Linked DNA regions of Tribolium castaneum. The main gene of each other region encodes a partner of the protein of the gene in region 6 in a complex. Links are inferred from orthologs where the notes say so. Each region holds a gene or a part of one and is shown on either strand. Other genes may lie near its edges. The genes, in order: SNRPG, Brr2, SmD2, Sf3b5, Tango4, cysteine-rich PDZ-binding protein and U5 small nuclear ribonucleoprotein 40 kDa protein.

Region 1 (3,277 bases), on a different chromosome or scaffold from region 6:
ACACGATAAATTGTTTGTATCTTTATTGTAATTATTGTAAACGTACATAAGTGCTTATATGGATAAGTAAAGAAAATCCTAGGTTGGCGCAATGAAAATTTAGGAAGTCACTGAAACAAGAAAACATCAGATTAAAATCCCCCTAAAGGATTCACGTTTACACATGTTGATCTACTCAAATCAAGATTTTTAGTCCTGATTTGAAGAACGCACAGTTGTCACTGTTAATTTTACAATTAATATGGGTTACTCGTGGACGATAAATATTTTACAGCGTAACAACTACAAAAACTAACAAATTTCGTTAGTCACTTGGTGCTAGAATCTATTCGATTTTCAGGTGAAGAAGAATGTAAATCAGGCACCAATAAAAGTAATGGTTTATTGTGTATACCTAACTCGAATTTACCACCATACAAAGCAGATTTATTCACCTAAATGTCTATAAAAATTTCGACTCGACTAATGACTTTTTTTTTTCGTGTTGTGGAGACCGTGACCTCGACTTAGATCTTGAGTTATTTTGTTTACTATTCGATTCCCCTGAATCCCCCCAATCCGACAGATCATATTTCGATAAGTCTCCGTCGTCGTCATCCTCCTCCTCGTCCTCCTCCTGCTCCTCCTCTTCTTCCTCCTCAACCTTCTTCTCCACCTTATCTACACTATTTTTCATCTCCTTCACCTCCTCACTTTTCTTCTTTTTCCTCCTCCCGAACTCGTCATATTCGTCGTCAGACTCGTGCTCCTTATACTCGACCACCCCCCTGTCGTTATACCCCCCACCGAACCCCGTCCTCTCCTCCACCTCCCCAAACTTGGGGGCGTTACAAACGTTACACTGCTGCCTCCGCGCCCAATTCACGTTACCGCATTTGTTACACTGCCAATCGTCGGCACTAAACAACCCGCGACTTTTCTCTGCCGCCGCTTTACCGATCTCGTGCCCCAATTTGCGCTTTTTCGCCGACACCGGCCCCCGACTTTTGTAACAACGGTTACAGTTGTTACGGCGGGCGAAATTTACGTTACCGCAGTCCGGACACGTCCAGTCTCCCTCGTTCGACGCCGACGGGCTTTTCAGCGACGGCGGCGGGGGCGGTGTCACTTCGGCCTCTTCCATGGGGGCGATACTAGACTAGAAAAGGCGTAAAGAGTAGTGGCTAGAAGGAGCACTACTAGAGGGAACGGAGGAGCAAATGTTAACATCTGGCGGTACTGGTACTGCTTTTACCTTTACTGAACCTTTTTCCAGCGGTTATTCCAACAAATTTGTTGATAAAAAAGTAACGTCAAACCGAAGATGCACCGAAATGTCACTAGCACAGAGGGATTTTCGACGCCAAACGTTGCCCACACCAATCAGGACACGATCACCAAAACAACAATTGCCTTATTTCAACGCAACACTTACCGATTTCTGATTACAGTTATCACCAAAACCAATGACTTGTTTTGTTTAATTTTTTGCATTAACTATACGTTAAAAATGTGAAAAAATTGGGACAACTGATCATGCCCTGTACTTAGCAACTGTCAAATCTGTCAGTTTGTGTCAAGCGTTTGAAGAGCGTTTTAAATTTTAAAAACTCAAAAAAGTACACAAAATGTCGAAAGCACATCCTCCGGAATTGAAAAAGTGAGTCTTGTTTTGTCGTAGAACGTATTACTAGTTTTTTTGCAGATTTATGGACAAAAAATTGTGTTTGAAGTTGAATGGGGGCCGACAAGTCGTTGGTATTTTGCGCGGTTTCGACCCTTTTATGAATCTAGTGGTGGACGAGAGTGTGGAAGAGTGCCGGGATGGCAAGAAAAACAATATAGGGATGGTGGTACGTTTCTTTTGAATTAGTGTGGATTTGAAATTTGAGGTTATGTTTATTACAGGTGATCCGGGGAAACAGTATCGTCATGTTGGAGGCTCTAGATAGGATTTAGTTTGTAATTTTGGCTTAATCGATAATTATTTGTAATAAAAGCGTTCGATTCTGACCGAGTTTTCTTTTATTGGGCTTGGGGTAGGGTGGAAATAAGTGAATTAGGGTAATAGGAGGGAAAGCATTATCGTCGTCGCTTTTGTGCGTTCATTCACAAAGAAATTCAATTCGTATTGTTTTCCTCGAGCGGTTTGTCCGTAACAGTGTATGAAAAGCTTAGAGAATGTCGCATGCGCGCCGCCACTGTTCCACCGTCGGGAAAATATTGGAAACGTTCGCTAGTTTGGCATTAAAGCGTCTCGGCGGCGACGTTCCAGTGAAAATTTTCGTGTAGTGACGAGTTTTCCAGAGCCACATCACAATCAGCGTCAGGTATTGCCCCCATTGACAGTTTTTCCGGGAAAACATCCGGATCGAAATTAACACCCACTCGATTTTAATGTCATTTCCTTGGAAAATGAGTTTTTTGAGGAACAGTCTTAAAGCAACCACCCTTGACTAGGTCAAAGGAACACGCTGAAATGTATTGCCCTATAAGATTTCGCTTTAATTAGTTAATTGTGCCCGAAACAATGGACATTATAACTACAATCCCCAAATTAAATGGAATAATTTTTTAAATAGAATCTTGTGAAAGGTGACGGGTAATATTGGGATAAAATCGGCAATCAAACTCCGAAGATGACACTAAGAGACTTTCCAACGTCATATTGACCCGTCTTTTTCATGTCAAAACAGCATTTTAATAATGCCACCCTCGAGAGAGTTCTATTTTTATTTTTCCTGGAAATTCTCCAAGTTTTTCTCGTTTTTCCAATACGAAAAATTCAATTGTAATACTTATTTAATCCATCACTTGGCTTAATTAGTTTAGAAGACTTTTCTGATCGCCTCAGGATATTTTTCAGAAAGGGATCACGTTTCAACTGAAACAACCTTCATTATGTAACGTTATCAAATTCCCCGTTTATTTACGTCTTTTCAAATCACGAAAAATCCTAAGCGGTCATTGTCGGCCGTCAATCTCGCTCGTAAAAAAGGAATCCGTTAAAATATTAATCAATCAAAATCCTTTTAATCTCGTTAAGTTTTAATTGAATCTCACGGAGACAGCCGGAGCCTTGCTCATTTCTCTGAATGTGATGAAAGGAAAATTCTCATACAATTCTCAGGTGGATTTACTTAACTTTCATAACAGTTTTAATTAGCAAATCCGGGGCCGCCAACAAACGAATTTAATCAAGAAAATGTTGGAGATGCGATGAAGAGATTTTCGGAGAAAAATGCGTATTTTTCTCCGAATCTAAATCCGGTCTTGTACCGCAAACAGAGTTCCATTA
Region 2 (4,599 bases), on a different chromosome or scaffold from region 6:
GCCCAAAATTTGCCCAAATTTATTGTGCCAATCGGCAAACGTTAACTCAGCTAATGCATCTTTCGGAACGAGATAAACGCACCGACCTTCCGGGTTTTTATCAAAAAGGCGAAGTATCGCAAATTCAGCGATTGTAGTTTTTCCAGAACCGGTCGGGGCACCAATAAAAATATTATCATCACCGTTGTAAACCGAATTGAAGACTTGCGTCTGAATTGGATTAAACTGCGGGAACTTGTCGTTATACAACGACTCGAATTTATCGTTCCGTAAGGCAGTGACTGGTAAAGGTTGCAAGTCAAGTAGTTCAGTTGGTGGGAAATTCTTCTCTGGTAGTATCAAATGTCGGAAAGAAACTGGTAATTGTGTCTCGGCTCCGATCCATCGATCTGACACAATACGTAAGAAGTACTGAGGTGGCAAAGGTTCGAAAATCGGGACAAAAAATTTAACCAAATGCTCGTCTTGTGAATACTTCGCTTTGAGCAAAAAATACTCATGGTGGAGAATAACCTCTGAATCCACATCTTCCACCAAAATCCAAAACGCTTCAGACGCTCCATGAAGTTTCTCATCCCACTGAAAGTCAGGCGTTATGGTCAATTCAACCTTCAACATTGACCTGGTAATTGGTTGAATATGCGTTGATAATTCAAGTTTGGGGAACTGATGAACGTATTTATGGATAGTCTTGCCCAACTTTGGGACCCGAATCAATTCGCCGATTTCGTTCGGTCCCAAATCGTATAAACGTTCCCATGGGAAATTTTTCTTTTCAATTTTCTTCACAATCTCTTCCGGCATTTTGCGAAATTGGCGCAACGGTGACATCGACTGCCACATTCTTTTATCAATCATTTTACACAAAGCTAACGATTTATCGGCCAATTGTGCCCAACCTCTGTGTAAAACAATCTCAAAAATAGCACGCATTAAACGCGAAGCTGATTGTGTTACGTAAACCATGTCGGACATAAGTGCGAAACCTTCCAGTTTTAGTTGAGAAATGTACGCTTGTAACAGTACGTTTACTTTGGCACTTGGTTCTTCGATACTTTCTTTGATCGGGATTGGAACACGTTCCATCAATTTTTGCAACTCAAGTTTCTCTTCCTCACGGACTGTTATATTCCTGAACTCAGACGATAGGGAAAAAACGCGGAACAATTCAATTTCGCTCAACATTGGTTTGAGCAATTGATTGTAAGTTTGCATCGTTTCGTGGGTGCAATAATAATGCGAGGAAATGCGTCCCAGTTCGGTTACTTGAAACTGACCGGTTTTTCTGTCATATTTAACCAAACCACTACGATCGAGATACAATGCAGCTGTATGTATTAAATCAGCTCGATGTTGTTCCAATAACGGATCTTGTTTGAAATGATCATGTGAAACACCGTACAAAGTTGGTTGTCGAAGCATTCGAATGTATAAATACGTGTAACCTAACCATGTGACGGCATCTCGTACATTTTGTACGGTTCCCAAAACAATCTCAGCGTTTAACATGTCTGATAATTTTGATATCATTTGAGATTCGATGGGTAATTGTTGGTTCAATAGTGATAGATAGTATTGCAGTTCGCTGTGATTGGTTATCAATATGCCTTCACCTCTGGTATCGTATTGAGGTCGGCCGGCACGACCTAACATTTGAAGAACGTCCAAAGCACCCAATTCAACCCATCTGCCTTTTTCTGGATTGTAAATTTGGGTTCCTTTTATTATGACTGTGTGGGCTGGTAAGTTTACGCCCCAGGCAAGTGTTGCAGTTGACACCAGCACCTAGAAGAAATTATAAAATTAGAATGTTTTTTTGTTATTCCACACGTTTTATGAAAACTGATTATTTATACAGGCTGCTCAAAAACTGGCGCACCAACTCAGTGGTACTTTGTTGAGAAGCATGTGTGGATCACGGGAAAAATCTTGAAAAAATTCCTAAAGTCATATTTTAAAAAATCTGGAGCTACAAACTTATTTTGTTAACTTCTTCAGTTTTCATTATTTTTTAATGTTTTTATGTTTCACACTAAGTAATCGTTCCCTAACACAATGATGAACAACTATTTTTAAATTTTCCATCAGACTTTAGCAGTTTTTTTAATTTAAAAAAATTAAAATTCATAAAAAAAATCACAGTTTGTAAATGTGCCAACACTGGGAATTATTTCCTAGGAAACCGTTTCAAAAATAATTTATTTTTATTGTTGATCAAATTCTATTGCGATTATGACTGTTAGACAACGTTGCCACATATCATTTATTTAAAATTAGTTATTTATCAATAACTTTAATGCAAAGAATTTTTTTACTATTTTTACCTTTATATGTAACCAGTCTATCACACACCATTGAGTTGGTGCGCCAGTTTTTGAGCACGCTGTATGTACATTTATACTATCTAAATATACTATCTTATTTACTTACTTACTACTTTACTTACTTACTATATCTTATTTATACTATCTAAAGATACTTTGTCTGAGACTACCTAAATAAAACAAATTAAGAGTAATTTAAGGAAGGCATTTCTGTCGAAAAAATTGAGGTAGTTTTTAGAGAACTGTGTTTTTGAAATAAATGTTTATTGAATTGACAGCTAGCCCTAATTCTCAGTATGTTTATAACGAAATTCTTACACAATATTCTCAGAATTTGCTCCCTTAGCTTACGTCTTAGCCAGGACTAAATAATTATTGGTAAGATTACAAAATAGGGAAAGTAAAAATATAGTCTCTTCAATGAATTTAATAATTAACAAAATGGTACTGAAAATCAAATCTCGAACAAGTAACAGCAAACTAATTGAAGGTAACAAAATTTTTAAACATCTTTGATAAAAAAGTCCAACATCTGCTAACTGCCAATGAAATGTCAAATGGTAATGCAAAGCAATAACATACAGAGCTGTAGTTGCAAAAATCGGAATTTGTTGTAATGTGAAGTGGTGATCTTGTTATAATAGATCCGGAAAAGGTTTAACGGCTTTAGATGAAATGTTTTAATAGATGTTAGCTACCTTCTAAATCTAAATCAGCTGATAAGTCAGTCTGCTCGTTAGGCGATAGTATCAAATTAGAAAAGTGAAAAACGCTAGAGCATACACTTGGTTTTGCATCTACACGACTCAAATAGGGTGTGAAACTTCGTTTTTGAACCATATTTTCGAAACCAATTGATAAAATAAAATTTGATTGTAGAATTGCCTAAGAGTCATTTAATTATTACGAAAACGGGATAATCTACAAAATTTCCAGTTGCTGCTTTTCCGACTCATATTTTTTTGTGACGGTCTTGACGTTACTTATTTATTGCTTAAATCGATAGAGTAGAGTCCGCAAAATGACAGATCGTCCACGGTGGTAGGAGTGCGCAGAGACGAAAACTCGTCACGGACGAGTCCAATCTATAAATTAGGGGTGTTGGCAGAAAACAGTAGCGTGGCGTGTATTTACATGTGTATGGAATTCGTCTTAAAGTTTAACATTTCAATATTACTAGTTATAGTAAAGATACCAGTAGAAACATTTTTTGCAATAAACGCGTTTTTACTCGTTACTCATTGTGTATTTTTATTTATTCGACCTCTCTGCTTTGTATTTCTAGGAAATCAACGTGTATTTTTATTATTTCATCTTGCTATTATTGAATAGAGAAAATCGTAACAACTACAAATTATAAATCTCAAACCCTTCTTGATCACAGAATATTTTTTTGCTACGCCACTGCTCGATCTCCCCACTCGATGAAGTACGCATTGGCTCCGCCTATCGTGGTCGTTTACAGAGTTTCCGAGCTCTAATCAATTATAGCTGTCAACATCTTTAATAATTTTCCTGATAATAAATCTTTTGCATTCTGGTATCACTAATTCTCTGTGTATAAATGTTTTGCTACATGAGAACCCTTTTCGAGTATGTATTTCTACCTAACATATAGTGAAGCTAAAAAAATGGAAACAAGAAACAATAAGTAGAAATCCTGGGTCTGGATGAAGCAAAGTTTCTAATCAAGAACAACATGAATTTCCACGAGTATTTAAATTATAATTAAATCATGTAAATCAGCGAAATAAAAATTGTTCCATTTTATTTTGTCCACAGATACTTAGTTACAATTTTGCTTTTTTTGCAACTCAAATCAATGAATTTCAGAAGTAACAATTTTTACAACCAGAAAATTTTGGAAATACATTTCAATTTGCTCAATTGACGTTCTGAAAGCACAATGCACTTTTTCCATTTTTTTGAAAATCTCGAGAAATCTTTTAAATTTGGTTTACAAACCGTACATCATTAGAAAGCTTATCAAAATTGCTATTGATAGGTGTAAGCAAATACAGGCTGTTCCATTTGAAAAAAAATGAGTTATTCAACTTTTTGCGTTTTGGCACATCCTGTACATTATCTGTGCGTTATAACGAAAAGTTGACTATATGCTAAAACTACAAGATATTCTAAGTTTTTCTGTCGAAAATTTGTCGGAAAATACTCATTGGCGGCTTCACAGTGATTTTTTAAATGTTAGTTGTTTTTAGCACAAAAAGTTGAATAATTCCGAAACAAAAAAAGATAGGCCTATAATAGTATATACAAA
Region 3 (3,336 bases), on a different chromosome or scaffold from region 6:
AAAAACTGAAGAAGTTAACACAATAAGTTTGTTGCTCCAGATTTTTTAAAATATTACTTTAGGAATTTTTTCAACATTTTTCCCGTAATCTGCACTTGCTTCTCAATAACGTACCACTGAGTTGGTGCGCCAGTTTTTGAGCACCCTGTATAAATTTATTTGGATTTTTTCTGTCATAAATAAAAATTTTATCGTAAATTGTAGGCAACGTTGGGTCACCTATCCAGATGATTATTTTTTTAATTTTCTTTAAGAATTGGTTTGTTAAATTTTTCATAAAAAAAATAACATTTTCCTTTAATTAACTTAACATTTGACAATGCAAAATAAATGTTTAATTCTGAATTAAATTTTACTTGCGCTTTCTGTAAACTGAACTACATCTAGTTGGCATTCCGATAATTTACAGCAGAGGCTAGTTTATTAAGGCATCATTTTGTGGAGGGTTGAAGCATTTAATCAAAAAATAATTTCTAGACGTTCATGGAGTGCGTACGTCTGAAGACTTTTAGTAAATTTGGCCTCCAACAAATTCAAGTGGACACGCATTACTTGCAGTTGTATTTGTGGCGATTTGTTGCGGATGAAAAGTACGTCACGAATTTGAATTTAGTGAAATTAATTGAATTTTCCAGCTTGGTTCATTTCCTCCTGGATGAGATTTTGGGATCAGCAGTCCACAGGTGCCTGGAACCGATTTTAATGGAACCAAGCGTTGTGGACATCATATGTGAAAGGGGTTAGGTCATGCAGCTTGCATAAGTTACAAATATTTATTATTCTTTTGTATTATCTTGTTTAAATAAAAAGGAGAAATTTTATCACATTTTGTTGTATTATTTTTATAGATAAATGTTAAAAAACCGTTCAATCTTTCATTTGCAACGACATGAATGTGATATTTCCACAGTATCACGTTCGCGGTATCAATCAACCGCAGAACAGAAGGACCACACGAGTGAAGTGATAGGTAAGTGAATTTCCTCAATAAACACTAAACTGAAGATACAAATTTTATTCCTAATTAACCACTAGCCGTAGCTAGGGGGTTCCTTACAACTATAATAACCGCATCGCCTCGCAGAAACATTTTCGAAATGAACCGATCCTTATTTACCGGCTTGGCTTTCTTCTTCCCCTTTCCAGGCCGGGGCAGCTCTGTCCACATTTCCTTCACATTCTCCAACACTATGTTGCAGTGCCGATCGAACGCCTTCACCCGCCCCAGCAATTTCTTGTTGTTTCGGCAGTTTATCAGCACCTGAGTGTTGTTCTTCACCGACTGAGTGAGCACCGAAAGGGGGCCCGTGTTGAACTCTTCCTCCTCGCGAGCCTGAAGCTCCTCGGCCGTCATTTCAGACTTGGGTTTCGTTAAAGCCATTCTGACTCGGTTTTTGCACTTAAAACAACACTTTTTCCGGCACAAAAATAGTTAGGTTAGGAATTTGAGCGTTTTGGATGCGTTTGGGGAATTTTGCAATGCGCATGCGCAAACTGGGTTTAATACTATGGCGGCAGATTCAAACATTTAAAGTGAAGAAAACAAACTTCGAATTAAATCAACAATTATTCTTCTCACATTTAAAGTTACATTAAGATTACTCTTTTGAATAATTAATTAAGAGTTTTAACATACTCAAAAACCACGATCTAAAAACTAATTACAAAATCGAGCAAATAAACCAATTTATAATCCATTGAGATGAAGACGTTAAATATAAGAGCAACAAGCTATTAATGAATCAGATAGGGGAATGCACCGTTTATTATAATTTAACTAGAAAATGTAATAAATATTGCAAATACGAGTATTGCAGTGCATTTTTCCAACGAAGGGAGTTTAATTCCCAGCAATTTGTTAGCCCCAGAATCGAAAATTAAATAATTACGATAAACAATAATCACTCTTTATTTATAGTAAGTATAACAATAAGAGATAACCAGTGCAAGTAATTATTCCAGCAGCGTGTTTATTTAAGTATACAAGCAATGCCAACGCAAATAATAATAGAATAATCATTAAAATGCAGTGAGGAGCCGATAAACCACCCCGTCCCGCTATATAAATTAAATACTTGAAGAAACGCACCAGAAGAAAGCCTCTTGTCCACCCGGTATTAAGTAGTTGCGCCGAAGGTGATGTTTTTGAAATCTCCTCGGTCTGGCTGCTTTATACCGCATGGATGAAAATCACCAAAAAAAGTCTGTTTTCTTGTCACACGTTGTCAGATTTAATAATTCTTAATTCGACTTCCTCATTTGCGGCGTTTCCTGTCGCCGCCCGTCTAAGGTCCCGCATTTGAGGCTTCGTTTTTCATGAGTTCGGTCTTCGTGTGCCTACCTTAATTCAATTAATCAATTGACCAGATGAATGGAATAAAGTTCATATGTTTGACATCGACGATGAACATATTTAAATCTCGTTAGGGGCCACTTCGGACTAAATAGGATAATAGCCGATGCTTACGGCTGCTTGCTGAATGCCTCTTGTGTCGAGATACACGCGCTGTATTCAATGATATTGTTTGTGTTGGGCAATTTTCTATTTTTGACGCAAGTGTTTATAAGAGTGGACTTTTGCTCAGGTAATTTTTGGGGAAATGTAGAGTAGTTCTATGTAGAGGAGTTTGATTTGGAAATGATTTTCCGGGCGTTTATACGCGAAAATTTTCCAAGCACTTGCTATTAGTGTTAATTTTGTAATGTTTTAGAGAGTAAAGGGGTACCAATCATGCAATCAAACCAATCAACGGCGGCATTACTACACATATTTTTCGAATGACATCGAATCTCATCTTTAGTCCTTAGATTTTTTCTTAACAACAGTTCCAATTTCATAAATTTTCTGATAAAAGAAGAGTCCAGGCAGAAGTATATTTTCTGTTACAGTTTTAATAATCTTCGTTCACCCATTAAAAAAAAATCCTATAAATAAATTTACTAAATATCTAAAGTTGATTCATAACTTGACTGTATCTAATTAATGTAAGCTAAAATCGCCCTAAACCACCTAGCAAATGAGTAATGCTCATCCAGCGGGAAATATTATAGGATATTCACACAAAAAAAGTTATAAATAAAAAATTAAAATTAAAAGAAAACAAAAAACTATCAGAAATTTTACAAAAACAAAACATTTTCTTTCCTAGCAAATAAACAAAACAGATAAACATTTTAAAGAGGGCTTTAGCTTAGTAATAATTATTTAGTTTTCTGAAACTACATAGATAGCTATTTTTGTATAGCCTTAAATACGATGTCAAAAATGATGATGTTATAACTTTTGATAACTTAACCAAAAAAAAAGTGAACTCGATTTGTTAATTACACTAGGTA
Region 4 (3,459 bases), on a different chromosome or scaffold from region 6:
GTCAGGAGGAAATCCACCACTGAACTATAATTTTTCAAGACTGTATATTAGATGATTGAAAAGGGGGATTTTTATTTCAAAAAGTGTAGTCTAGTCTTCGATTTTTGGGGGAGAAGGGTTAAAACCGGCCGATACCGTTTGATTTAAAATCCCCTTTTTGTGATATTTCTCCCGATTTAGGCGACGAGGGAGCGGAAAAAGCAACTTAATATATTTTTATTTATTTGTTACGACTATTCCACCGTTTCACAGGCTTAAGACTTGCACATAATTTATGAATAGGCGATAAGAAATGTTATGAAATAGAGTAATTTGATAAAAAATTAAATTACTGTGTTTCAAAAGGGTTAGGTAATGGACGTGCAAAATTTTTGACATTGTATAATAATTGTGTAAAAATTTTCTAGAAATATATTATTCATGACACTGGTTGTTTGATCTGGGGCAGTTATTCCTGATAAAAAATGGTTATATTTAAATTACGATAAGTATAACGCAAACAAAAACTACAGGCTGATAGAGCATTTAGGGCCACATTCATAATCGGGTTTAAAAGAGCATTAAAGTAGATGTTTATTTTTCACAAATCTTTCACACATTCCAAAAAACATTTAATTTAATGCTCCGTTAAATTCGATTATGAAAGTGGGCCTACATTTTCGATGGCAAGAAATAAAAGCACAAAAATTATCATAAACAATATTAAAAAAAGCAAACTTTCACCATATTTTTTAAAACGCTGCAAATATGGTTGAAAAAAGTGTATAGAATGCTTTTTTCCGAGAAAGTCTGCCATATCATATTTCTATCATTAACCATTTATTAGGTTTAAACAAATTTAGCGTGAGCGGCTGAAATATGGCCTCAAGAATTTTTTTCCACAAAAAAATGTCTGTTAGCTGTTTCAAATTTATAAAAACGCCAACGTTGCATTTTACCGATTTTATTTTTAAATAAGATTGATAAAAATATGAAATAGTTATTATTGATTAAATCTCTTATTGAAACTATAAATTACATTAGTTATTATTTTTTTGAAGTGCATGAATAATTTATAATAGCTAATTTTGAGAGAAAATGCGACGTTAGCGTTTTTATAGTTTTGAGACAGCTAATAATATACGTATTTTTCCCCATTTTTTCAGTTCGTCTCCTTTTTTCTCAAAACAGTTAAAAACTGACCAAATAAACACATAATGTCTATATACGTAAAAAATTACTAAGTATAAAAACTAGCATAACATAATATAATAATAAATAATAGTATATTTAAAAACAAGTTTTCTATGGGATGAGTGCGCCAAAACCCTTATAAAACGAGAATGTTTTTATGATTTTTTCTTATTTTAATTAAATTTTTTTGTCGTCTAGGGAATTTCGTGTCAGTTGGTGACGGTAATAAATAATAAATAAAGAAGAAATGATGATTAAATCGATCGTACGTGTATTCCACGCATTATCGATGAAACTCTTGAAAACTAAATATCCCTAAATTCATTAAAGTACACTGTACTTTAATAGCCATAAACGACTCCTACTGATATATGTTAATACACGTGTATTATAAACGAAAAATATAATATAATAATAGAGAGACTGACCACTATCCTGTTACACTACAAAACGAAGGATTTTTAAGGCTCATATTTACAATTGCGCGTTATTCAAGTGAAAATAGTATAGCATTTTTGGTGGCACCTAAAGAAAATTTCAGAAATACAACACACCCTGTATAATAAATGTTAGCGAGAGGAATAAAAACCTAGGGACTTTTTTGCTGCCGAACAACAGTGGCAACCCTAACATTTAACACTAATGAGTAGTGAGTTGAGTTCGAGGTTAGGTGAACTTAGGAGCATCAAAACAAAAGTGTGTTTCTTCTTTGTGTGTCTCTATTTCGTAATTTACTGCAATTTGTAAAAGTAATGGGCGACCGCTACAACATCCACAGCCAGTTGGAGCATCTCCAATCGAAATATATCGGAACAGGCCACTCTGAAATAACGAAATACGAATGGCTGCTGAACCAGCATAGAGACAGTTACGCCAGTTATTTGGGGCACCACGATTTGTTAAATTATTTTGCGATTTGTGAGAACGAGGCAAAAGCCCGAGTTAGGTTTAATCTAATGGAGAAAATGCTTCAACCGTGTGGTCCACCTCCAGATAAACCCGAGGATTAGATTATAGTAAAGTCAATAAAAATTTTCATATAATCGTTGTTTTTTTTAAAAGACCATTTTAGAATTCTTCCGATAACTAAAATAATTGTAGCCGAAAGGTCTACTTTGTATTTCATTTCGCCTTTATTAGAATAGAATACCTACTTTATTTGTGTCAATACTAATTGCACTAATAGAGTATTCCACACACGCCGCAAAATTAACTTACATTTAAATAGGTATTACTGTATTACATAGGCAAGATATCACTAAAATCATTCCGAAGATATGTATTCCTTAATCGAATAAAAAGTTTTGGAAATTAAATAGTGTTTCAAGTTCTTTAATAAAAACATGGAGGAAAATTTCTAAAGGTAGTGGAAGGGCATTTAAAAATGTATTTATTTATTACCCTTATTAGGAATATAATTTTTTCTAGTACAATAATTTATGACTTTAAGAGAATATTCTTAGCTTTAGTTCGCTGCATTTTTATAAAAAAAAAACAGATTTTCAATATATTTATTTTTTATTTACCAATTATAGTGACAATAATAGCATACTTAATTGACTGTAAAATGTAACAATTATAAAAATATAGCTTGCTTATAAAATATGACAGATTCAACCTTGGACTTTTTTTTACAAATGAAACCAATCTACACCAAAAATTTGACTATGTGTGCTGTATAAGGCTTATAAAGGCCAAGAAAGTTGGGTTCTATTTCATAACACTATTATGAACCAAGTCCTGAAAAATTAAATAATAAAAATATGCTTACGAAAAAAAGCGAGACAACCTGAAGCTCGTCAATAGTCCAATTCCAGTCTTCTTTAGCAATTGCAGGAACCACATCCATAATCACTTTAGTAACTTTAGTCACATTTTTCTTAAATGTGGCAAGAACATCAGCAACAGTCACATGTTCGTCTCTATTTTCTTTCCAACAATCATAATCAGTGACTAAGGCAATTAAGGCATAACACAAACCGGCCTCTTTGGCTAAAATAACCTAGAAAAACAATGACAAAGGGGCCCTTTCCCTACTAAAAAATACCTCTGGCACTGAGGTCATATTGATGATATCCCCACCCCACTGCCTGAACATTTTACTTTCAGCCTTGCTGGAAAACCGGGAGCCCTCAATAGTGACTACAGTCCCGGTTTTATGGACAGGAAAATTCAGCTTTTGGGCTGTCTGTATAAGCAACTGTCTTGTTCTTTCGCAAAACGCCGGCTCCATCGGCAAATGGCAAATCCCCACAGGGTGGTTTTTCTCCCCGTCATAGAAAGTTT
Region 5 (4,736 bases), on a different chromosome or scaffold from region 6:
ACTCGATGTGCGGCGCCGGGTTTAAAACATTCCTCAATTTATTGATTTAACAATTTATGCAAGCTTTACGAGGACCATTTTAATTAAATTAATGTTTTACACCAGTTTCTGAATAAAATAAGTTGGTGTCTTGTTGTAAAACTCTTAATTAATTTATTATTAATACCTAACAGATGTCACTGGGTCACGTAACGTCAAAAAAGTGACAGTTGTTGGTAAATAAAATGTTGCAAATAAGTGTATTTTTCTTTTGATCTGTTATGTTTGGACAACTCAGCACCCGTAAGTAACTGGGGGAAGTACACAAATGTAGTTCTTACGTAACAGTTCTTAGAAACACGTCAAGACCCCAGTTGTAAAAAATGACAAAAATCAGTGAAATCAGCCGAAATTCGTCTGCAAGCCTTTCCGACGATGACGAGGAGACAAGAGTGCGCAAATTTGCAAAACACATGCTCAAGAGCTCCCTATTTATCGGTACGTTTCTGGAAAAAAGGCTGGTTGAACCTTTGAACTCGTACCGCGATGTAATTAAAATATGCGACGATGAACACGACCTTATTGCGAATTTAAAAGCAGTGAGGAAGCGCTGCTTGAAGCATTTTACCAAAAATGTGTGGATTGGTATCACGGAGCCGAAAACAATCGGGGCCCCGGCAGGTTACAATTTGTGGGTGAGTCTGGACGAAGAGGTTTTTGGGAGTTTTTGGTACAAAATCAAAAACGTTGAATTCTTCCACAATGAAGTTAGAGTCAAGCTTGAAGTTGTGAGGCCAGTCAGAGAGAAGACTCCAGTTCATAATATAACTCCCACTCAGATTTTTGAAGACGTTTCTCAGAAGAATTTGGGTGAATTGGGTGCAAAATTTCAGGAGTTTTTCAAGGATCAGTTGAGGAACTTGTTTACTGAAACCTTGACTTGGCCCAACATTAAACAAGCCACCATATTTATGGTTCTTTTGTTATCAACACTGATCACTTTCTTGATACACACCATCAAGTACCTTCTAGACTATCTCCTGAAACTTTTGCGTGAAACGCAAGGACTTATCAGGGTTTGCACCCCAATTATTGTCAACTTTATGACTTTAATTTCGAATACCATTTGTGGATTTTATTCTTTATTGGCGGTTTTGTGGCGAAATCGGTCACCACCAATCAATCAATTACACATATCTCCGTATGATGTACCATATTATAGAAGTAATATGAGGGCATTACCTTACCAGGCAGGAGACTTTCAAAGGTATCGCAAATCTCGCGGATCTTCAGTCAAGATCACTCCGTTGGATTAAGTTTCTTTGCATTATATAATTCTGTTTGCATTTTTAATCACATCGCTGCAAAGTGGGGCACTAGGCAAAGCTACTTTATTGTAGTCGACTCACAATGTAAATAATTTGTGTAATATTGCTTTTATCTGGGCTCAGGAATGTTGACATTGGGACTTGTACAGATAAAAACTAGATGCGTTTTGTGGTCAAAAAACTATGTATTTTATTGTAGACTTAATAACGAAATATTTATAAGTGAAACAACTCGTATCTATTTTTATAATTGTTGAAAAATACAAATGTTAAAAAAATTGGCGTGCTTTTATTTTGTGACCAAAACTACCCAAATAAGAAATTCAATTCAATTTGGTATGGAAATTAACTATTTTTTGGTTAAAAAAAAAAAAAACTCAAACTCCCTCCACGGTTGAGTCAATAGTAGTTTCTTTTCCTGTCTATTCTACGAACCAAAAGTTACCAAATGGTGGATTTGGTGATTTTTTGCAGAGAGGTTAAGTACGATTTTGTTTATTTACCCGAAGATTAATTACTAGTATTACAATTCAGTAAATATCCGGAGTTAAATACTCGTCTTCACAATGACCGAAGACGTGCAGAGACACTCCGTACATACGTTAGTATTCCGTTCCTTGAAACGGTCTCACGACATGTTTCTCTCAAACCAGGGACTACTGCCATCAGTGGACGAAAAAGCGTGAGTAACAAACCACAAAAACAAGCAGCCCTTAATATTACGAATTAAATAGCGAAATGGTGCGAAAAGCCATAAAAGCCCGTGACTTGTACGGCCTAGTCTTTGACGACGTTAAGAAAATGCAAGCTATGAAGCACTTACGGGAGGCAGAAGCTGGGCCAAACCCCCCACCACCGGGCACACGCACTGACGACGCGGCCCCAAACACCGAGGGGGCTGTTGTACCGTACACTGACACAAGTTTGATGACACGAAGCGTCCAAAATAACACACAAAACCAGCTCGCCAATTTAATGAAAAAAGTCCCCACAATGCCAAAGCCGAAATGGCACGCCCCTTGGAAGCTATACAGGGTGATTGCGGGGCATTTGGGGTGGGTCAGGTGTGTTTCGGTGGAGCCAGGAAATGAGGTATAAAATTTTTGTTGGCAGCAAATTTGTTACCGTTTTTTTGTTAGTGGTTTGCGACCGGCGCAGCGGACCGAATAATAAAAATCTGGGACCTGGCAAGTGGGCAGTTGAAAGTGTCCCTAACTGGGCATGTGAGCACGGTCAGAGGGTTGGCTGTGAGCAGTAGACACCCTTATTTGTTCAGTTGCGGTGAAGACAGACAGGTCAAGTGTTGGGATTTGGAGTACAACAAAGTCATTAGACATTACCATGGCCATTTATCGGCTGTATACTCTCTAGCGCTTCACCCCACAATCGATGTTTTATTAACAGCAGGGCGTGATTCAACAGCCCGGGTTTGGGACATGAGGACGAAAGCAAATGTTCACACTTTGACCGGCCACACGCATACTGTAGCTAGCGTGGTGGCGCAAGCCTCCGAACCTCAAGTTATCACAGGATCTCATGATACCACAATCAGATTATGGGACCTGGCAGCTGGGAAATCAATTTGTACGCTTACCAATCACAAAAAGAGCGTTAGAGATGTGATTCTCCACCCGACTTTGTACGATTGTTTAATTATTTTTTTTGTAATTATTTTATTATTTGTAGGAACATGTTCGCGTCGGGCTCACCCGATAACATAAAACAGTGGAAATGTCCTGACGGGAAATTCATACAGAATTTGTCCGGTCATAATGCTATTGTTAATTGTCTCGCTGTCAATCCAGAAGGCGTCCTGGTTTCAGGGGGCGATAATGGAACTTTACATTTCTGGGATTGGAGGACCGGTTACAATTTCCAAAGATTACAAGTAATTTTTGTAACTTTGAAGGAAGTCAATCGATTAATGTTACATTTTTAGGCCCCAGTACAACCTGGGTCAATGGACAGTGAAGCTGGAATATTCTCAATGATTTTCGACAATTCTGGCTCAAGATTAATCACAACTGAAGCTGACAAGACCATCAAAATCTACAAAGAGGATGAAACTGCGACTGAAGAAACGCATCCGATTAACTGGAAACCCGATATTTTGAAACGGAGGAAATTCTAATTCTATGATTAAAATAATTTGTATTTTTATAAAAATAATAAATAAAATTTTATGAGCTACTAAAAAGTTTTAATTTTACCCAACTTTGCATTATTTATCAAATTTTCCGAAAATTAATCAAACCATTTGACATTTCTAGACCATTAATAATCGCAGAAGTGCACAAAACTTACGATTTTCTAGATGTAAAATCGTGAGGGTAAAGGTTAAAATGCTCTACGATAAATAATTTTTAATTTGATAAAAACAATAAATTAATTCGTTTGCGAATTTGGAATGCTTGTTACCAATCATATTTCCTCGTTCAAGTCGTAATCTTCCTCAGGGAAGTCGCCACATTCAACGTTGTGTGGCTTAACAAAGGCGCCATAATTATTAGCACATTCAAAATATTTCTTGCCTTTAAATCTGCAACAAAAGCTAGAATTTTTTTTCAACTGATGGTCGTAACTTACGTTCCATCGTTTTTGCCCAAAGGTTCGTCATACTTGACCCCTATCCAATATCCAGGTAAGGTCTCAACAGGCCCTGTGTACATCACAGTGCCAAGTCTGCAGGGAGCATTGGCTACAGTAACTTTGCATCTTGAACCAATTGGCGTGCTTTCTGCCAGTTGTTTTTCCTCTGACATTTGCTTTTCTTTCTTTTTTATATTCTCCTCGTTATATTGCCCTGAAAATTTACAATTTATTCTGGAAAATCTTGGGTTTTGGTGGCAATTTACCCATTTTATTTTTCATTAAAAATGCCTTGACTGAATCTGTCTTTTTATTGTACTCTTCCTCGGGTAACTCATATTTAGGCACATCTCCAAAATCAAGCTCATTGCGTATATTAAACTGGTCAATCACGTGTAGTCTCATTCCATCGTCCAAGGGATAAGAACCAAGCAAAGCCTCATTGTTTGAAAGTGAACAAATGTGCTTATTATCCTTGTTGTACGCTTCAATTTGCATCGTATTGCAATTGCCTCCTGTTATTAACTCGAGTTTTGCCTGAAATATTGAAGTTGCGATCCGACTTCGTCAGAAAATGCAAAAATTTGTACCTTTAGGTCCGATATGGTTATGTCCTTAGGAAATCGCTTTTCTTCAAACGAAACATCGTCTTTCGAAGTGCTTATGTGAAGTCTCACAAAATCAGATGTAATTACTTTAAAATCGGCCATACCGCATGAATAATCAACAAAATTCAATTTGAAAAATGTGAAAAATGACTAATAATTTTTTTGTTTTCTGGTGTCAGGGTAGACAACCAATCCAACCAAAAATTAATATTGGTTCGATATTTTTAATACA
Region 6 (3,537 bases):
AAAAATGTCTCTAAAATGTAAAAAAATGTCATGGAAAAGGAACCATGTTGATTTGAAAAACACATTTTTTTGATATTTTTCTACTTAGAATCGTAAATTTTATATGGTGCATATTTTATTGAGCTGCTATACTTTGTGTTAAAGTTTTGTGTATTTTTTTGTTAAAATTGTATAAATATTTTTCATTAAAACTTTTTTTGCGGCGCAGTTTTATAAGTGCTTCATTATTTATATTTTATCTGAAAACAGTTAGTCGATTGAAAATTTCGACCTTTTATGTTGTGTACTTGTGTACTTTTACCACATTATGGAAAATGTTTCAAAAAAAATAATTACAGTCGAACTTCGATAACTCGAATAATTGGTAACAAATTGGACCGAAATTAGCTTTTTTACGTTGAATTTTTTTCCACACCATTCACACTTTGAGTTAGCAACAATTTTTTATGTATCTTTTGCACAAATCAACTTTTAAGCATTTGTTGTCTTAGAATGTTATAAGAAGTAATAAAAAAAAATGTTTGCACCGCACAAAATATATTAAAACATATTTTCTGAACTTACCTTTAAATTTTAATTTTAAATTTTTTTTTAGTTTTTTTTTTTGAAAACACGAATGTTCGGTAACTCAAAATATACTTTTTCAAATTATTGTGTATGTTATATCAAGTAGGTTGAGGAAGTCTAAATATTTAATTTAATTTAATGACCGGAACAACATTATTAATAACAAAAATCTTTTTTTCTATATTAATTACTTTGTTAATTTTAATGAATTCTTTTTCTACCTCAGAAGCTTGAGTACACGTATTTATTGGAAAGAATAATTATAGAACAGATTAAGATTCATAATTAATATAAAAAAGTATATTTTGCTGACAACTGCTAATTTGTAGAAAAGAATTGTAGAAAAATTTTGAAAAGAATTACATAGATAAAAAAAATTAAATATTTATTAGCAAACGCTGGAAACCAGACAGAAATGCCTAAGTTTGTTGTAGATTAAGTTTACAAAAATAATAATAATCTGAGTGATCAATGATTTTAAATCTAAGTTGGCCACAATAACTATCAAATCTAAACGTTAATTTTTGTACTCGATTTTTAAATTTCACCTACAATTTATAGTACCAATAATAAAAATAAGTGTTGCCAACTTAATTTCAAAATGTATTTTGCTCTGTTTTCCAGAACGGACAGATGATGATGATAGTGATGACGATGATAGCGAGATGGAGGATGCTTCTGACGAAGAATTGTCAATGGACGAAGATGAAGATTTCGATGAAGATGACCTTGAAATGAACGATGATGACAAAAGTATATTTTTTGTAATAATAAAACACAAAATTATCCTTTGCTTGCAGTGCTTCTGGGTGACTTAGACGACGATGAAGACGAGGAAGTTGTTTTTGACGATGAAGAACCGAAGTCAGCAAAATCAAAGAAGAAAAAATCCAAAGACACAAACTCAATATTTGCATCAGCTGAAGAATTTGCCTCATTGCTTGACGATGAAGGTAGTTCGAAAATAGCCCCAGGAAGTTCAAATGCGTTATCAAATAAGGATAATGCGAGCACTAAACAACTTGCCTGGGAACAGAGTAGAAATAGGTGGTTGAAGGGATTTGATGAAGTAGTTGGCAAAAAGAAAAATAGTAAAGGTAGCAATTTTGGCAAGAAAAGGAAAGGTCCAAATAAATTTAATAATAAGGCAAAGAAGAGGAAGAATTAATAATCGACAAGGAAGCAGTCGATTGCATTTTAATTAATATAATTCTTTACGAATCCACCAGTTTTGTGTTTTATTTAATTCGTGTTGGTTGTATTTCGCGAATATACAACTACACATAACCCATAACCTAACTTTTCGTGACGTTTAACAGTACGTTCTGTTTATTATCTTCGTGTTTACAATTTCGTACCAAATTCACAATAATTATCGTGTTTTGTGAAAATGGTGTGCGAAAAATGCCAAAAGAAGTTGGGCAAAGTGATAACACCAGATCCTTGGAAAAGTGGGGCTAGAAATACAACTGAGTCAGGGGGTAGGAAAGTTAACGAAAACAAGGCTTTAACAGCTAGCAAAAACAGATTTAATCCATACACGTCCAGTTTTGAGACTTGCAGGTTTGTTAATGCAAGTAATCCTTAAAATTGATTTACTCTTCTCATGTTTTTATTGTAGAATATGTAGGCAAAAGGTGCACCAGGTTGGGTCACATTATTGCCAGTCCTGTGCTTATAAAAAAGGAATTTGTGCGATGTGTGGTAAGAAATTGTTGAGTACGAAGAATTACAAACAATCGTCAACTTGAACTACATTTTGTGTGTTACTTTTAAACAAAATTAAGCCTATTCTAAGTTTTAGAGCAATTTGCATTGTTTTGTAGGTACTGTTAGGTTTTCTGTCTGTATACAGTGAGTGTACGACAATTTAATTATCTTGAATGATAAGGTGTGTAATTATATTTAATAACTTATGACAAAAGTTTTTTATTTCATTTTTATGATAACATTTTTAACTTATTAATTCATTTCTACCTATTCTATCCCTATTTCTTTTTTGTTATTAAGGTTGACTATACATTATTAAAACGCAACTATCAAATATTCTAGAATTATTATTTGGACTTTTTTATAAACTAAAAAACTGTACCTGTAATATTATTTCCACAAAGTTAAAATACGATTTTGTCTTATTGCACTAAAAAAATAATTGAAAAAATTGATGTCTGTCGTATTATTAAATACTTCTAAAAGTGGCTACACTGTATATAACCTTTTAGAAATGAATTTCAGCGATTGGATTTTAAAAATTCACTTCCCTGTATATAAAAAAAACGTGACGAAGTCGTAACAAAATTCAATGAATCAGACAAACCTCTTTGTTTTCCACCTTGCAGTAATTACTTATCTCAGTGATTATATTTTTTGTTGGTGACGTTTTATCCATACACTTACACAATACTGCCGTTTAATTTTATTCAGTTTGGTTCTTGCTTTTGACGCAAACGGACGTAAAATTAAAATTTTCCAGTTCAAAATTTCAAATTTGTTGTGGGTAGTGATCGCGGTTAGTGTGTGGTATTGTAATGGATTTCCAAGAAGAAAGGGAGGAAACTACCCGGATTAAAGGGTTAGTCTGCAGTACCTACATTCTTTTTAGAAAAATTACATTAACTCTGTAACATTTAATTGAACCACATTGTTCTTATTTTATTGTTTTTTATTTCACAACCATTTTAACAGATAGGGCACTGCACACTTTTTTAGATTTCATTTTCAGTTTTTACAAACAGTATTACCAGAAGTGAATTTTTCTTGACAGGAACTTAGTACCAGTCAAATTTTTGCAACTTACAATTAGAACCACATTTTTTAAAGTTTGAAATACAAATTGATGACGGACGGGACAAAAAATCTTGTGTGTGAAAACATCTCTAAAAATTGTATTCATACAAGTTTTAATTATTAAAGACTTTAGCAATATTAAAATTAGACAATGTAAATTAAAAATTTTTGGTTTTGTTTAAC
Region 7 (5,357 bases), on a different chromosome or scaffold from region 6:
TTAGTTTCGGTGATTTACACCGCCGTTCAATTTTATATTAATGGGAAATCAACAGAGGGTACATTATGGATTGTTTTGGGCATCATTGCAGTTAGTAAGTATTTGAAAAATTATAGTTTCGTTTTTCTTATTTTCCTGTTTCAGTTATTTACGTCTACATGTGGCTTGTGGTCTTCAGTTACTTCACTTTTATTCGGGAAGAAACCAAACGTGGGGCTTATATTAAAGATCCGTTCCGACGGCACTATTAGGAAAAACTGTGTGTTTTTATTCAACCAAAGACAGAGAATTGTTTGACGGAGTTAATTTTAGTTAAAACTAGTCTAAAAAAATGTGAAATGTGTAACACGATTTGTTGTTGATGATATTATTGCAAGATATTAATTTTTTATGACGTAGGTTTTAGTCTATTTATTATTGTTGAAATAATCTGCTAATCCACTTTAATAAATGTTTATTTTGCTATTTCTTTCCATCTAACACATGCATTTTACAGAATATGGAAATTACGCAAACTTTGATGGAATGCCGCAAATATTTATCCACTTTGCGTGTCGCAAAGTTTAATGTTTGAGCACTTATTTTAAATATTTTTATTAGATTAGTTGCATCACACTCTCCGTAGGCACGGAAGTAAATATTTTAAGTAAAAATTAATTAAAATGAGTTATAAAAACAGGATATACATATTCTGGAAGAAACGTACGTAAATATTTGCAAATGTTTAGGCAATTTTTTTGGCATGCAATCAGTGTTTTAAGTTTTTTCTGTAATATCGTCTAAGAGGAAGAAATCATTAATCAATGTCGGTCTGTTAACAAAATTCTACGTTTAAAAAAGGCACAGATAACATAATTTTCCAACAAATTTGGGATTTTCGATTAATGATTTTTAGTGTCATTTTAAGAGTTTTTTTACAAACTGATTTATTTTAGAGTTTAAATGAGTTCAAAAATTGAGCAAAATAAACCAAAGTCAAGTCAATTTTTAGTTAATTTAAGGATTTTCACGGTGTTTTTTCACGAAAAAAAGTGCTAAAATATTAAATAAACATCTGAAAATAGACAAATAACATTATTTTTAACACGATTTAACAACCTTTTGGATTGTTTTGCCAAAATTACACAAAAAACATTAGTATCTAGTATCTAATTTTGATCAAGTTTGCTGATTTTTAAGTTTCTTCTGACAGAATTTAAGAAAATATGTAGTTTTTAAGTCGAAACTTTACTGAATCAAACAAAGCAGACTATAATAACGACTATAATTTGGAAGATATCATTCTTATCAATCTATTTTAGTAAAATTACGCAAAAAAGATGTTTGTAGTTTGAAAATGAGCCTAAACTCCGGGGGTTCCTCCTAAACTTAGGAGATGAAACAAGATATAAAATTACAGGAGTTTCTAATCCCAAAAAATTAGTACGACACACTAAAAATGATGGCGCAATAATGCAACAGTCTTATGGGGTTGTACCTCAAATATTTGCCAAGAGAAACTTAATTGTGTTTCAGTGTTGCAAATTACTAACAAAAATCTGTTAGTACCGGGAAAATACTGACAATTTTAGAGCAAAAAAGTAATAAGAATTACGCAAAGTGAGTTAAGTGAGCTAATATTAATCGTTTTCGAAATTTTGGCAAGTAAAAAACCAAATAATTTTTAGATATCGACATTGGGAAACCATTTCATTGTTGTCAAACATTTATTCCAAAGGAGATAACTATTTGTTTTATATAATTGAAACAGGGTATACAATCAAATCGTACTTCGTGCTCTCCACCAGAGGGCGCTTATCGCTTCGTTTTGTTGACGCTAAAAAGTGAGGTTATTGTTTTCCTCCCAATTTTTGTTTAAAACACCAAAAATGGTTGTTGAGAAACGTCGAGCCGAAGATTCATCATCTCTAGTCCCCGTAAGCAAAAAATCGAAAAATGAAGTGGCCACATCGAACAAAAACAAATCGGTCTTACAAGCGGTTAGTAACACTTAACCTCAAAAACCCTCCTCAAATCATGTATTTCAGGCCCCTGCGAGAACTTCCAATCTATTTGCCCCCATTATGTTACTGGAGGGCCACGAGGGTGAGATTTTCACAGTGGAATTCCACCCTGAGGGTCAATATGTAGCTTCATCAGGTTTCGACCGTAGAATTTGTAAGTTGTTTTTTTTGCAATGAGGTTCAGCCAAATAGGTCTTCATATCAAAATTTTGGAGGATTTACTTGAATATCTAATATAGTAATTTGAAGTACATAGAGGGTGTCTTAAAATTAACGCCCGTGCGTTGGGAATTTGATTCAGGGGGTTAACATAATTCGAAAGTTAAGAGTAAAAAATTTTCAATTGTTATTGATAAAAATGTAAATAATAAGCTTAAAGCTGTTTTTCCAATTGTTTGTGCAACATAATTCATCAGTTGATGTTAGCAGGGCTGAGCCATGCCAATTGGCCGCCTGTGTGCAGGTTCCAATAGTAGTTAAAAATTACCAAGTTAAATAAATGGAAGCAAATGTTCATTTTTAAAATATTCTGAACTAGTTTATTTATTCAAAAATAAAACTATTTGTAACAAGAATATTTTTAAATTTTGTACAGGTACATTAGCTGTTAAAAATAATTTGATAACTACAGTTCATTCTTTTTTATAATTAACTGTCAGTGTCAAAATTTTGATAAAGACCAGACTGTATCACACCAAAATCTCATGTCTAATCACTTTCGAAACTAGCTGTATTCTGTATTTGACATTTTACACACCAGATTTGACATTCGGGACAATTTTTGCAGCCAATGAAATTTGAATTCGTTAGTCTTTAGAATTTGTTAGCCTTTTAAAAAAATGTGTTGTGCGTGTTGTAACTTAAAGACCATTAAATTAAATTTGCCAGGTAAAAATTAGTACCATCTTAGTAAAAATTACTATTTATGGTAATACTAACCTGACGGCTCTTTGACAGTTGATTATAAAAAAAATCGACTATATGTATACACGAATTGTTATTGCTTTGTTTTATCAGGGGTGCATGTTTTTTATTTTTGTTTTTTAACTAATATGAAAACAACCTAAAAACAAAAAAATAAGGAAAAACAAACAATCGTTCTTATAAAATAAAGCCAAAACAGAAAAATAAAGCCCTTGTGTAAAATTATTCATAACTTTTTTACCTCTTTCATTTTTTTATTCTTTTTGTTTTTTGATTTTTTGCTCCATTTGTTTGAATTTTATTATACAGCGTGCTCAAAAACTGGCGCACCAACTCATTGGTGTGTGGTAGAGAACTGGTTACATATAAAGGTAAAAATAGTAAAAAATTCTTTGTATTAAAGTTATTGATAAATAACGGATTTTGGATAAATGATATGTGGCAACGTTGTCTAACAGTCATGATCGCAACAGAAGTTGAGCAAGAATAAAAATAAATTATTTTTGAAACGGTTTCCTAGGAAATAATTGCCAGTGTTGGCACATTTACACATTGCGATTTTTTGGATGAATTTTAATTTTTTTAAATTAAAAAAACTGCTAAAATCTGATAGTAAATTTGAAAATAATTATTCATCGTTTTGTTACGGAACGATTACTTGGTATGAAACATAAATACATAAAAAAAATAATGAAAACTAAAGAAGTTAACACAATAAGTTTGTAGCTCCAGATTTTTCAAAATATGACTTTAGGAATTTTTTAAACATTTTTCCCGTAATCTGCACTTGCTTCTCAATAATGTACCACTGAGTTGGTGCGCCAGTTTTTGAGCACCCTATATTTATCAGAAATATGAAGGAGTGTAGTACTAAAATAGTAAACAAAAAAGTTGGTGGCTATTTAAAATGTTATTTTAACATGTCTTTTCTCAATAACTGGATGTCAAAGACTAGCGTTTCTAAAAATAAAATTGATTTGTGTATTGAAAAAAATAAGCCATAACTAAGATATAAATTTTATGTGTTATATTAAGTTTACTCTGTAGAATAATTGGACAGAAAATTTTATGGTTTCATTCTAGAATTTTTTAATTTTCTAGTCCGTATAAATGACTACTATTTAGTCATTTGCTAAGTAAAATGTTGACATTGCGTGGTAAAATAATCTAAATGCTGAGTGGTAATTATTTATCTATTTTTAGCGATATTTGGCCAACCAGTTTTGCAAGTTATTTGTGCGTTAGGTATTTTACAGGGTTCAATTTTTGTATTAAAGCCCTCAACTTCGTTTCGAGCTTCAATATTAAAACTTCACGCTGTAAAATTTTACCTACTACAGGTAAATTGTAAATAACTATTACTAGAAAGGCTATCATTCCCTAAATTTATGCGTGTAAGTTAAGACTCACCCTATATACGTCTGAACTTATATTCATTTAGGGATCTTCTCCAAAAAGGTTTCTAACTTTATTCAGAAGGAACATATGAGGATGTAAATAAAGAAAATTATCAATTATAGTTTTTCGAAAAATTTTATTTTTTTATAATAAAGGCAATACCAAATTCAAAAACGTCTTCCGCATTCAATTCAACAGAAAATTTTATGATTTTATTCTGTTTTTTTAAGTTGTACAATCATTTCTTTACTTCTAATCACTCTAACTCTGTTCATTTTCATAATGAAATTAAAAGAATCCAAACTATATTTTTATTTAAAATTTTATTTATTCCATCGTCAAGGATAAATGAAATTTTATCACTTAGAGAAATAATATTGTTCACAACTATTGTTGTTTTTGTTGAGTTTTTGACGTTTATAACTGTCAATCAAAATAGCTCAGTAACTCAATCGAAATAATGGAGGATGGAATAAAATTTTGTATTGCACACGATAAAATTCACTATTATCTTCTCAAGATCTCAAAGTAAAATTAAATTTTATTGTCTTGTATATCAATTGATTAGTTTTAAAGATCTACATATTTTTCTTAGCTCTTACCTATTTTGAAGAATTTGGAAAAAACATCTTTTAAGTATTGAAAAAAAAAAGAGTCGTTTTTACATACTTTACGGCAATCTTCATCAAAAAATTTGGTTTAAAGGCCTATTTGTCTAGACTAAATATGTTGGTTTAAAACATGTGCGATTTCAGTCGTTTGGAGCGTTTACGGTGAGTGTGAAAATTTATCGGTAATGAGTGGCCACACGGGTGCTGTCATGGAGCTCCACTTCACGACAGATGGCACTAACATTTTCACAGCCAGCACTGATCACACGCTTGGCCTTTGGGATTTACCAACAAGTCAAAGAATTAAAAAATACAAAGGTCACACTACTTTTGTTAATTCGGTCCAAGGTGCGAGACGAGGCCCTCAAATGTTGGTCTCAGGCAGCGATGACACCACGATTAAATTATGGGATATTCGCAA

Evidence for each region.
Region 1: cysteine-rich PDZ-binding protein (region 6) and SNRPG share a complex: the UniProt entries of both Homo sapiens proteins name them as parts of the minor spliceosome. The link is inferred for Tribolium castaneum from reciprocal best matches to the Homo sapiens genes CRIPT and SNRPG.
Region 2: cysteine-rich PDZ-binding protein (region 6) and Brr2 share a complex: the UniProt entries of both Homo sapiens proteins name them as parts of the minor spliceosome. The link is inferred for Tribolium castaneum from reciprocal best matches to the Homo sapiens genes CRIPT and SNRNP200.
Region 3: cysteine-rich PDZ-binding protein (region 6) and SmD2 share a complex: the UniProt entries of both Homo sapiens proteins name them as parts of the minor spliceosome. The link is inferred for Tribolium castaneum from reciprocal best matches to the Homo sapiens genes CRIPT and SNRPD2.
Region 4: cysteine-rich PDZ-binding protein (region 6) and Sf3b5 share a complex: the UniProt entries of both Homo sapiens proteins name them as parts of the minor spliceosome. The link is inferred for Tribolium castaneum from reciprocal best matches to the Homo sapiens genes CRIPT and SF3B5.
Region 5: cysteine-rich PDZ-binding protein (region 6) and Tango4 share a complex: the UniProt entries of both Homo sapiens proteins name them as parts of the minor spliceosome. The link is inferred for Tribolium castaneum from reciprocal best matches to the Homo sapiens genes CRIPT and PLRG1.
Region 7: cysteine-rich PDZ-binding protein (region 6) and U5 small nuclear ribonucleoprotein 40 kDa protein share a complex: the UniProt entries of both Homo sapiens proteins name them as parts of the minor spliceosome. The link is inferred for Tribolium castaneum from reciprocal best matches to the Homo sapiens genes CRIPT and SNRNP40.

Annotation. Positions count from the first base shown.
Region 1 is NC_087395.1:18,416,314-18,419,590, forward strand, and holds SNRPG (probable small nuclear ribonucleoprotein G), read left to right. Parts: upstream 1-1,479; 5' UTR 1,480-1,607; coding exon 1,608-1,639; intron 1,640-1,684; coding exon 1,685-1,832; intron 1,833-1,887; coding exon 1,888-1,938; 3' UTR 1,939-1,992; downstream 1,993-3,277. Other genes in the region: zinc finger Ran-binding domain-containing protein 2, read right to left, coding at 443-1,123. UniProt on the Homo sapiens protein: Plays a role in pre-mRNA splicing as a core component of the spliceosomal U1, U2, U4 and U5 small nuclear ribonucleoproteins (snRNPs), the building blocks of the spliceosome.
Region 2 is NC_087397.1:20,462,845-20,467,443, reverse strand, and holds part of Brr2 (U5 small nuclear ribonucleoprotein 200 kDa helicase), read right to left. Parts: intron 1,786-4,599; coding exon 1-1,785. UniProt on the Homo sapiens protein: Catalyzes the ATP-dependent unwinding of U4/U6 RNA duplices, an essential step in the assembly of a catalytically active spliceosome. Plays a role in pre-mRNA splicing as a core component of precatalytic, catalytic and postcatalytic spliceosomal complexes.
Region 3 is NC_087395.1:17,190,337-17,193,672, forward strand, and holds SmD2 (probable small nuclear ribonucleoprotein Sm D2), read right to left. Parts: upstream 1,482-3,336; 5' UTR 1,382-1,481; coding exon 1,025-1,381; 3' UTR 1,001-1,024; downstream 1-1,000. Other genes in the region: Vps51 (vacuolar protein sorting-associated protein 51 homolog), read left to right, coding at 478-590, 636-744; serine-rich adhesin for platelets, read right to left, coding at 2,242-2,337. UniProt on the Homo sapiens protein: Plays a role in pre-mRNA splicing as a core component of the spliceosomal U1, U2, U4 and U5 small nuclear ribonucleoproteins (snRNPs), the building blocks of the spliceosome.
Region 4 is NC_087396.1:17,669,481-17,672,939, forward strand, and holds Sf3b5 (splicing factor 3B subunit 5), read left to right. Parts: upstream 1-1,745; 5' UTR 1,746-1,869; intron 1,870-1,923; 5' UTR 1,924-1,925; coding exon 1,926-2,183; 3' UTR 2,184-2,216; downstream 2,217-3,459. Other genes in the region: spz6 (spatzle 6 precursor), read left to right, coding at 1-30; Mtap (S-methyl-5'-thioadenosine phosphorylase), read right to left, coding at 2,884-2,913, 2,963-3,175, 3,221-3,459. UniProt on the Homo sapiens protein: Component of the 17S U2 SnRNP complex of the spliceosome, a large ribonucleoprotein complex that removes introns from transcribed pre-mRNAs.
Region 5 is NC_087397.1:4,268,163-4,272,898, reverse strand, and holds Tango4 (pleiotropic regulator 1), read left to right. Parts: upstream 1-1,677; 5' UTR 1,678-1,790; intron 1,791-1,841; 5' UTR 1,842-1,873; coding exon 1,874-1,989; intron 1,990-2,041; coding exon 2,042-2,399; intron 2,400-2,446; coding exon 2,447-2,946; intron 2,947-2,993; coding exon 2,994-3,195; intron 3,196-3,246; coding exon 3,247-3,438; 3' UTR 3,439-3,497; downstream 3,498-4,736. Other genes in the region: uncharacterized protein LOC656577, read left to right, coding at 363-1,295; Tbcb (tubulin-folding cofactor B), read right to left, coding at 3,729-3,846, 3,894-4,110, 4,163-4,433, 4,487-4,606. UniProt on the Homo sapiens protein: Involved in pre-mRNA splicing as component of the spliceosome. Component of the PRP19-CDC5L complex that forms an integral part of the spliceosome and is required for activating pre-mRNA splicing.
Region 6 is NC_087394.1:8,405,056-8,408,592, forward strand, and holds cysteine-rich PDZ-binding protein, read left to right. Parts: upstream 1-1,840; 5' UTR 1,841-1,957; coding exon 1,958-2,130; intron 2,131-2,188; coding exon 2,189-2,318; 3' UTR 2,319-2,494; downstream 2,495-3,537. Other genes in the region: Noc1 (CCAAT/enhancer-binding protein zeta), read left to right, coding at 1,192-1,320, 1,368-1,735; ras-related protein Rac1, read left to right, coding at 3,096-3,139. UniProt on the Homo sapiens protein: As a component of the minor spliceosome, involved in the splicing of U12-type introns in pre-mRNAs. Involved in the cytoskeletal anchoring of DLG4 in excitatory synapses.
Region 7 is NC_087399.1:11,298,687-11,304,043, reverse strand, and holds the start of U5 small nuclear ribonucleoprotein 40 kDa protein, read left to right. Parts: upstream 1-1,770; 5' UTR 1,771-1,868; coding exon 1,869-1,979; intron 1,980-2,027; coding exon 2,028-2,157; intron 2,158-5,080; coding exon 5,081-5,357. Other genes in the region: uncharacterized protein LOC656468, read left to right, coding at 1-94, 145-251. UniProt on the Homo sapiens protein: Required for pre-mRNA splicing as component of the activated spliceosome. Component of the U5 small nuclear ribonucleoprotein (snRNP) complex and the U4/U6-U5 tri-snRNP complex, building blocks of the spliceosome.